2 linked regions of the Arabidopsis thaliana genome follow. The protein of the gene in region 1 interacts with the protein of each later gene in a pairwise test. Each region holds a gene or a part of one and is shown on either strand. Other genes may lie near its edges.

Evidence for each region.
Region 2: the proteins of AT2G18850 (region 1) and AT2G16210 interact in a two-hybrid assay, tested with the Arabidopsis thaliana proteins (one large-scale study listed by BioGRID).

What each region holds. Positions count from the first base shown.
Region 1 is NC_003071.7:8,158,987-8,164,572, reverse strand, and holds AT2G18850 (SET domain-containing protein), read right to left. Parts: upstream 3,974-5,586; 5' UTR 3,786-3,973; coding exon 3,783-3,785; intron 3,667-3,782; coding exon 3,583-3,666; intron 3,393-3,582; coding exon 3,264-3,392; intron 3,195-3,263; coding exon 2,903-3,194; intron 2,821-2,902; coding exon 2,702-2,820; intron 2,616-2,701; coding exon 2,483-2,615; intron 2,397-2,482; coding exon 2,320-2,396; intron 2,233-2,319; coding exon 2,038-2,232; intron 1,953-2,037; coding exon 1,763-1,952; intron 1,684-1,762; coding exon 1,511-1,683; intron 1,419-1,510; coding exon 1,318-1,418; intron 1,230-1,317; coding exon 1,094-1,229; 3' UTR 811-1,093; downstream 1-810. Other genes in the region: AT2G18860 (Syntaxin/t-SNARE family protein), read right to left, coding at 1-12, 133-215; AT2G18840 (Integral membrane Yip1 family protein), read right to left, coding at 4,725-4,985, 5,075-5,149.
Region 2 is NC_003071.7:7,026,194-7,031,113, forward strand, and holds AT2G16210 (Transcriptional factor B3 family protein), read right to left. Parts: upstream 2,983-4,920; 5' UTR 2,801-2,982; coding exon 2,702-2,800; intron 1,753-2,701; coding exon 1,458-1,752; intron 1,376-1,457; coding exon 1,125-1,375; coding exon of another isoform or gene 1,116-1,124; exon of another isoform or gene 1,034-1,115; coding exon 803-1,033; 3' UTR 568-802; downstream 1-567. Other genes in the region: AT2G16220 (F-box and associated interaction domains-containing protein), read right to left, coding at 3,962-4,920.

The sequences.
Region 1 (5,586 bases):
GCAGACTCCATTCTAAAATCCAAGTAAAGAACAATAGCAAATTAAACACATCTCAATCTCTTAATTTATGCAAGATCAAAAGCTAAGCTCAAAGAAGAGATTACAAGATCAAAATCTAACAAGAAACCATACATATCTGTAGATTTTTGAACCTCTTCAGCTGCAGAGAAGAAAACATCTTTTTGCCATAGATCAAAGCTGTTCACTACCATCATCTTCTTCTTCTTCAGGAGCTATCCACAAAACAGAGTCAAAGAGAATCAAAAGAAGCTTTTACGAGCAAGAGAATCGAAATTTTTCTCGAACTCTTTGTTTCAGCTTTTTTTTTGTGTTCTGTTCCCACTTTCTATAAATCTTATTTATTTTCTTGTCAGTGTCACACCAACTTGTGTCTATTATAGAAACGTGGCTGATTATTACTCGGAGACATAGGATATTAGTATGCTCTTTGGTGCATGAGATTATAGCTCTGTGTTAAGAAGCTGGAAAACGACAAGAATGTAACCTGGAAGATGGGGTCCGCCAATTTGCTGCCACCAGCAGCCACATCAACTTTTTCATTCTTTTTTATTATTTGTTATGTTTCCCATTTGAGATTACTTTTATAATATGCTCAAAATACTGATAATTCTCTATGCCCACAAAAAATATGAGAAAATATAGTATTAGTCAAATGTTAATGAATCTGATTACTCATTTTGCATTCAGAAAGTAATGACAAATGATGGAGACACCACTATTAGGGTACCATGCGTGATGCATTTGCAAAAAAAAGAGTATTCGGTTAATTTGTCTAGGGTTAGTCGCACACGTACGTACGTACGTAAGTACATAAATTTATAAATTCTAATGAGATTATATAAAGAGGTGTCTAATGAGATTACGTGGATATGAAGCAATTATATAAGCAAGAAAAAAAGAGGTGTCTAATGAGATTAAACAGAGGAAGTATGTAACTAAAATGTAACTAAAATGTAACTAAAATTGAACTAAAGTCTTTTAACTCACACAATTTAACTTTGTCAAGAAGATACATTTCATAATACAGTATAAGCTGAATCCAAGATCAGGTTCTCATCTCATTCTACCTTAGCTAAACCGGTGGGTTAGTTATGGATTCTTGAACTAGTTTGATACCTGCAGAACATGAATCAAGAATGGATGAGACAATCTTTCTCTGCCGCTCTTTGAACTCCATCGCTAGTTTAACATCCCAATCCGCGTTTTCTCTGTAAAAGTGTAAAACCAGACGGATTACTAAGTAATTGGTCACTCTGTTTCAGCTTTTGTATATCATGACAAGACAACTACTGATACCTGTCGATAGAATCTGCATCGCCAAGATTTTGCATCATGTCGTCGAATGTGGATTGGAGATTCTCAAGTACTCCTATCTCAACTTCCAAGTTCTTCCATAACTTAAAAGAATCAAGAAATGAGAAAAATATCTTAAGTGTTAGATTCATAGAGATATAGATGTAGTTATACGAAGGTGATGAAGAATATATACATCTGTTTCAGAATGATGAACAAGACCATGAGCTTTGCGCAAGTAGTTCAACAATGGAGTAGGCAAGCCGTAGTGGAAGATGTTGTGATTACTCGATAGCCAAGTCCCGCGTAACATGTGAGTTGTCCAAGAAAACTCGGTCTCGATGTCTTCATCATCAATGACATCAAAATCTGCAAGGAAGAGATACAACTTAAAGCAAAAAAAGCATGTAAGCCTGAGTGATCTCAGAATGAGGTAAGGTTAAACTACCTAAGGGAATGACATCATACGGGTTATCCCCTTTTGGTAGAAATCCGTAAAATGTTAACAGATGCGAACTAGAGTAGTTTCCGTAGCTAAGAAAACATTGTTCCCCTTTGTTGCAAGGCCTTGAGACTGGGAACTTCAAGGAACTCGTCTCAATGTCTACTTTTCCATATTTCACTATGTGTGGGTATATCTGCAAAACCCGCCAAATTATCATATTCCGGATAGTGATAGGAATTACTTAGTATACCAGAGGCAGAACGAGAGAAGACACATACAGAATGGTTGAGAAAACCGGCGACAGGAATCAAGCAAGTCTTCAGCTTTCCATCTGGGAATTTGATTTGCATGCTATTTGAGTAATACAACTCACAAGCCCATAAGTAATGTTCCCATGTATAGAGCTCCGGTGGAAATACTTCCCGGTGGTTCGATAAAAGAGGAATCAATTCATCATACCTCTCACGCAAAAGCTGCAGATATACAAACAATTGCCAATGGAATCAAGAACATAATACAAATCACAGAACCAAAAGATAAGAGATGGGATCAAGTCACACCTCTTTAGCTTGCATTATTTCATCTAAAAGCAATGTACCATCAAGCTCCATGATTGCATCAACCCCAAAACTCAAACCTGCAATGAGAGAATCAATGTTTGTTGTCTCTTTGAAACAAACACTGCTACAAGAATTGAATATTTAGTTCTCCAAACAATTTTACCGGTACAAAAATTCTCTTGCAGAGAGTCAAAGTATGGTTTGAATTTCGAGTCCAGGTTATGCTTTTCCCTCATGGTCCATAAGAGCAGCATTGTCTCAGATGTAATGCCATCAAACGTCTCCAATATTGGGTACTGAAGACAAGAGAACACTCATCATATAGCATTGCTATGATGAAACTGACGCAATCTTTAAATCAGGATGAACTCAAATGATATACCATGTCGGAGTTGTACACATACTCCTCCGAAATGATACTTGAGACTGGAATCTCTAAAGCAACATCGCCAAATTTCAAGTCTTCGCTAGCTATAGCTCCTCGTCCATAGCCATCAATTTCTATCCAAATTTATAAAACACATTGTCATAAACTTAAATCTCTGTTGATAACTTCATAACAGAAAAAAACCGTTAAGCTTACGAGCTATCTGCAATTTGGTTTTGACTCCATTGTCCTGACCCCATTCTACTAATTTGCTTTCCTTTTCGCATCTATAGCTATCAACAACTCTAGCTTTCTCCTTTTCAGCTCCAACAACCTCATTGATTCTACCTTTTAAAGCAGCTCGTAGAGCTTCAAAGGTATCAACTTGTGTTTGCATCTTACAAGAAACCGGTATAAGCGAAAGGATCCAGCTGAGAGCTGAGATTTCGTTTCTAACACTGTAAATTCCTGCAGGAGTGCAAGCATCCTCACCAAAGTAAACTTCCACCTGCATTTCACTCAATCCATCATCTAAGCAACTTCACATGCATTACAATGGCCTACGATGTTTGCTTACCTTATCGAGATTAACTATTCGTCCAAAATGAAGCAACTTTTCCAATGCAGCATTCAACAGTTGTTGAGATAATGATCCACTGAGGTTCAATGTTTCCTTTACGCATAAACCTTTGCAACTCAAGAACTTCTACAGACACAAAATCATAAGAAAATTCATTTTCATAAAAACTCAAACAAAACATGAGAAAAACTAAACAGTGTAATATTTTAAGACTTTGGCACATGAAAAATCTGATCTTTAGACTATAAGGCAAAAAAAAAGCTAATGGCTTTGAGTATTGAGATAACAGAAGAGCAGAGAAATTAGGAAATTGAACCTTTTTGTGGTGATAAAAGGGATCATCTTTGGGAAGTTCTACACATAAATCACCAGTCTCTGACATGATATTCAAAGCACCAACCTTACAATAACCAGCAACAAGATTAAACTCGCTACGACAAAAAACACACTAAACCAAGTCTATTACAAAAGCAATAAGATTAATAAGGGTCTAAAGGAAAGGAATTTGAAGATTACCATCGAAGGAAGAGCTGAGAAAGCGAAAAACTTGGCAGTATCAAACCAGCAAGCAAGTGAGGCAGCCTCTCACTAGCTGAAGAAGAAGAGGGCTCGTCAATACAGGTTTTCCCGGTTTGATTTCGGTTTAAAATATACATCCGGTTTGGTTCAAAATAAATTCGTTTTTGTTTGTTGACGAATCATCTCTGCTTCTTCCCCCCCCCCCCCCCCAACCGGTAAAAAACTGGAAGTGATGATATACGATACGAAGCATATGCAAATGGAAGCTAACAACAAAATAAAAATTAAAAAGTTGAATAAATAAATAAAAATGAATAAATAAGTTGAATAACAAAAAAAAATTGAAAAATGAATGATGTTCATTAATGTATTCGAATAATTTTGAAATGAATAAAATAAGTAGAATAATTTTGAAAATAACGAATGATGGATTGTGTAAACAATTTTTTTATTGCGATTCCAAAATATAAATATAAATTTAAAGCAAATATTGAATTTGGTATTATTATATATCAAAAATATGTTCATAATCTATTCGATTATGCTAATGATTACTAAATAAAATTTAACCCTTGTTTTAGCATGGTTGTGATCTGGTTTCCACATTTCCATGTTAATACTATAACACGTGTTTAGGGTTGGGTGGACGACCAACAAAATTGCATGTCGATACTATCTCGAGAAACCATATGAAGTAATGTTTGGTAAAAAAATTGTATTTATGGCCAAAAAGATAAATGTAAGCTTAATGCAGATAGAGCGGGGCACATACAAATGATGATCTTCTTTTTAACCAAACCCACAAAAAAGGGTAACAAAACATGTTTATACATGATCATCAGAACTCAGGATGGTTTGTGTATGTATGAAAAATTTCTATCCAAGCTGATTCCTGAGAATACCTGTGATGATTCCCTTTTTCTTCTCAAAATTGGGGATTCAATTGATGGCTATGATGAGAAAACCGACTGACACATACATGAGGAAGACGGGGTATAGAGCGAGTGCTTTTCTTCTTGGGTTAACCGCTGAGCTCATAAAAGGGTAAGCAGCCCATGAGCTCCAGGCAAGGGTTACAGACACAACCACCATCTTCAGTATCACATTGTCTTTCAACATGCAGATCACGGCTCCAACGTCTAGCGGAAATAAACAGTAACCTAGAAGGCTCAAGCTTTGGAAGAAGATTATATGTCCACCCTGTTCATGACACAACATAATGGTTGTAAGTATGTGATCAAACGAAAAACATCTGCACGAGATACAAGGAGAGAGCAGTGGTGGTTTACCAGGAGAAGCACGTTTAGTGTAAGGATCACCGCCCCGGCTGCTAATAGTGCAAATGCCACTGCAAATACCTCGGACTGGAATCAAAGGGAAAAGGTATGAGACAAAGACGAATTCTGATAGATAATAGATAGCATTCTATGAAAAGCCACTCAATATCGGCAAGATAAGCTGTAATTACATCAGATTCAAATTCAATCCTTTAATCAGACCTACATGCTAATAACTCAGAATAGTGCATCCAAAGTGCTACTTTGTGAGTCAAAATCCTACATGATCCACTGTACAAGAAAGAAGCTTTATATAACCTATAGCCTAAGAATCAAGTGAGAAGCAATGCCACAAGAACAGTCCTCATTTTTCTTCATCATGTTCCTTCTATAATCTAAAAAATCACAATTGGAGAACAATCTTAATGCAAAGAAGTGGAAATGCTATCTTCACTCCCATTTAAAAACTCCTAATTTTCTGTAACTCAATCCTTGTTTCCCGTCATCGTGTTCCATCTATAATC
Region 2 (4,920 bases), 1.1 Mb from region 1:
ACAACTCCTTGAAATATGGAGTACCAAACATTGATGCCCATCGCTTTGACACGCAACAAAACCTCACGACCGACTCTGCTGGCAATCTCGACAATATCTCCATGATGAGATCATTCGTTAAGGAATATGAATTCATGATTTCAGATCGAACGAAGAAGGAGATTTGTTAAAATTTACATATTAATGTAAGACCTAGAGAAACCTAGCTTATATACTACTAAAGAGACCTAGCTTTCGTGAATTTATTTATCCGATTTTAGTCGGTTAAGAAACACAAAAATGGGCTGATTTAACGTCTAAGTGGGCCTCCAAGCTTGTCTTCTTCAGGATATTCATACCAAGGAGATAAAAATGGACGTGGTAGACTAATTAAGATGATGTTCAAACAGGTCACGCACATTGCAACAGAACGAACAGAACATCAATTGTTGTTGTTGGCTTATCGGTTTAGGTCATCCTTCTCAGACGTGGATTGTGTCTTCGTTTCTTCAGAATCCATACTTAATTTTAGAGGCCAAGAAATAAAGATTCAAACTGAAGTTTTCCAGATATGCATGACCAGCCAAATTGACAATAAAAGGTTACCATTGAGTTGATAATTTGATTCTAGGGTCATTCAATTCATACATATAACGATTTTGATAAATTGGTCTCAAAATATTAAGCTACAGAGCTACATCCGATAAACAAGAAGCAAAGTTCATATGCAAAAACCAAACTAAAGTCATTACATAAAACTTAAGACAATAAAGTTCTTTTACGTAGTAACTTCTTCTCCAAGACACCCTCACATCCATCCTCATTAGGGTTTGGAGACAACTAGAAGTAGCTCCTTTGGTTTGATGAATGTGAATTTGCAGGTATCACCAACAGCAAGGGGATACTCTTTAACCACACGACGCCATCCACCAGAGAAAGCTCCAAACCTCTCCAGATAAACCACATTCCATGATTTCTTCCCATTTGGGTGATGGATCTTGAATACTGTTTTCTCATCCGGCACTTGATCCTTCGATACAGAATTCGGGATCCTCTAAACACTCAAACAAAAGATTCATTCACATACCAATTTTTAGCTCAATACAGAGATTTTGTTTAGAGTGTCTTGGTTTGTGTTATCTTACCAGGAATACGAGATATCCTTGCTTGAACAAGATGGTGAATGCTGCAGCAGTAGATGAAGAGGCACCAGCGTAATCACTTCGGGCTCTAACCACTTTCTCGGTCCTTTTAGAACTTTGGGATTCCTTAGCTGCCCTCTTCCCAAGGTTGAGCTTTCTTCCTTTAGATTCAGCTGCAGTTGTCTGGCCACGGTTAGAAGATACCACTACCTCTTCCTTAATGTCATTTTCCTCTTGTTCTGTTTTGATACGACCTGTTGCATCAACAAAAACTAAAGACTCAATGACTTTATCCAGTTTCACTGTTTCATAATCAGAAAAACAAATCTTACTTACTTGAAGAAGCAAAGAAGGATCTGGATTGTGGAGGTTGCATCATCTCTTTCCCGTCTAGCTTAAAGATGTTCACGGTAAAGTGCATTTTCCCTTTGTGAGTGAAGGTAAGTAACTCACTGTTTCCCAAAGCATTGTCCCTCACAAACTTCTCCCAGCCAGACTTCTCCATGAAGTAAAATCTAGGGTTTTTAGAGATTCCTACTTCCCAAGAGTTTCCCCATTGCGCTCTTATCTTCATCTTACGTGAGAGCTCTTTGTCGGTGAAGCTTCTCGAAAAGTCATGTGGAAGTGCTCTCTTTCATTATGCAAATAAAATGAAGAGACGATATAAGAAGACTAAAATTTCAATAAAGCAAGAATGGTTGATCTAAAGAACGTTTCTTCAACTACAGGGAATCAACAAGTATTTGGTCCACAGTTTCAAATTAACAGAGGACAAATCTCATTCAGAAGAAACAGAGGTGAAAAATAATTCATGACGACTCCTCACATCTAAACTGAGTAATGAGAGAAGCAGCAAAACAATGTTCTTGATATCAGATAAAGAGAATTGACGAAAAGAGTCAACCTTTAAACAAACAGCTAACAAGATTCAACGTTACAAAGGACCAAAAGTTTCAACATTTCCAAACTAAACTAACGAAGTGAACGTTCTTACACATCCCATCAAGTCTTAAGTACAAAGTTTCAAATCTCACCATGTAACAAATATAGTGTGACAAACACAACAAAATGTTTTGGCATAACATTCTTTTCCATTCTTCCATATGTGAGCCCAAAGTTTAATTAGTCCCATCACACGCAAATGACAAACCAAACAAGACAATGAAAAATAACAGAGGGCAGATCTCATCTAAAGGAAACAAAGATGCAAAATAATGCATGAATGCTCACATTCAGACAGAGAACTAAGTGAAGCAACTAAAACAGGAGAAAGACAATGAAAAATAACAGAGGACAGATCTCATCTAGAAGAAACAAAGATGCAAAATAAAGCATGAATCCTCACATTCAGACAGAAAAATACGAGTGTAGAATGAAGAAAGTTCGTTACATAGAGAAGATCTGTGAGTTTTTTTTCCTGATACCCATAAAGACAATTTACGAAAAGTTTCAACCTTTCCAAACTAAAATAACAAGTGTCAAAGTTTAAGACAAACCCCTGTTACAAAGAACCGAAAGTTTCAATCTTTCCAAACTAAGCCAACAAATTTAACAAGGAGAAGAGTTTAGAAGGTTGTTACCTTGTTTTCTGAAGAAACATTTATACTCTGAACAACCTTGAAGAAGCTTTCATTCTTGCGCTCTTCTTTGCACCGAAGATAACCAGCGTTCGTAGCCATCTCTCTAATTCAAGCTCACCCACAAAGCTTTTGCTCTCGTCTCTCTTTCACACTCTCTTCCTATATCTCTCTCCCTCTCTCTTTTGTAAGGACCAAACCTGTTGAAATCTCTACCAAATTTCAAAGGAAAAGATTCAGTCAAAGTGGTTAAAGTTAGAACTGAGAAATAAGTACAATGTGAGGTCATGTACTTTTTGTCACACATAACTCTTATATGTGTTTCTTTAATGTATAAATACAATGTTGGTATTGTCCAATTAAGACGAGGGAGGAGTTGTTATTAACTTATTATCCAATTAAAAATAAAATGTTCAGAAGATGTATTCTATTTATCTAATATATAATTTTAAAATCTTAAATAGATTATAATACTAGTCAATAATTAGCTCAGAAACAAAATCAGGTGGGACAATATTTGTGGACCAAAGTATAAAATTTGCATGATTCAACTGAGAGATGAGCATTTTTCTAGTCAGAGCAAAACTTTGGTTCTCAGTCTTAGTACTAGTCTCGTTGCATAAGTTGTTGAGAGAGTCCAAAACATTAATTGGCGCAGAAAATCAAAACAACAGAGTACTGAACAACGTCCAAGGAGGATGGAGGATGGACTGGCTTGAGTTGTTTTAAACCGTTAAACATTAAGATCCTCTACAAGGTTTCTTAAACGCTTTACAACCTTTGACGAGAATGTTCCATCTTTCAAAGACAGCTTACAAGACCCATTGTTACAGAGAACCAAAAGTTTCAAACTTTAAAAACAAAGCTAACAAGAAGTTGTATAGTTTAAGAACATGAAGACGACTTAGACTAAATAAAAGAACATTAAGGAACTTTTTCTTCAATTATAGTGAAAAAAACAGTGAATATTGTTACATATCCCATTAAGTATTTGACTCCAAAACGTCATCATGAAATCATTTCCATCACACACAAACGACAAACACTGAAAGATATTGAAAAAGAACAGAGGACAGATCTCATACAGAAGAACAATATTGATAATTTAAGCAAATATACTCAGATTAAGACAGAACTAAGAGAAACTGCAAAACCTTGTTCTTAAGTATAAATTTCGTTAAAGAGAGATAGATAAGGTTGATTTAAAAGTAAAATAAAAAAAGCCTAGTTAAGAGAACAAAATGAAATGCTCATTGCTTTCACCTAAATGATAATCTCTCTATCTTCTTCTGATTCTGAATCTGATTCATCATATTCTGGCTGCACCGATGGAGGATGGACTGACTTGAAATGTTTTAAATTGTAAACATTAAGATCCTCTACGTGATCTACAAAGGTGTAAACTGTACCAAATTTAGTAAACGCTTCAAAACCTTGGATTTCAACACGTCGGAGATTGTTCCTTTCGGGATTGAAGTAGTAAACATAAAACGGTTGTTCAGATGTATACTTGCGCATCGAAAACACTATTTCACCCGAAGCAGTCATTCCAACCACGGAAACCTGAGAACGGTATAATTTATCCTCGGTCCAAGTGTAGGCATATTTCGACCATTCCTTTTTCTCGACATCCTCTAGAACCCACACATGCATCTCATCAATGGCATCATCTTTCACATCATCATCATCCACATCATCCCAAAAAATTACAGCTAATTTGCCCTTATAGTTTATCAATTGACCACATTCTAAGCCAATAAAGGTGAAACTTTCGGATCTTAAATCAAAGCAAACTAACACATTACCAGACGTTACATCATGATCATTATCCCAATCTGACGTGTCACCTAAGTAATACAAAACACCATTGATGCATATCCCTTGACTGTAAATATCATGTAGTACACGATATTTTATCTTTTTCCAATTCATATCCCCATCTCCAAAAGTAAGAATTTTACTGTGACCAGGACCAGATGGATAGATCATGGACAATGCCTTGTACTGCTTGTCAATTGGGTCAAACCCGAAAAAGCTAAACGCCTTTCTATAAGTATAGCACTTAGGTAAGATCGTATACCTTCCTGTGTTGGGGTTACATATCAGAGGTGTAGCCTCGTATCGATCACCATATAAATAGATCAAGCCAGAGGCGTAACCAATTGAAAAATATCTTGGGGTATTATCATGATAGATTCGTAGATTGTTTGGAGATAACTTCA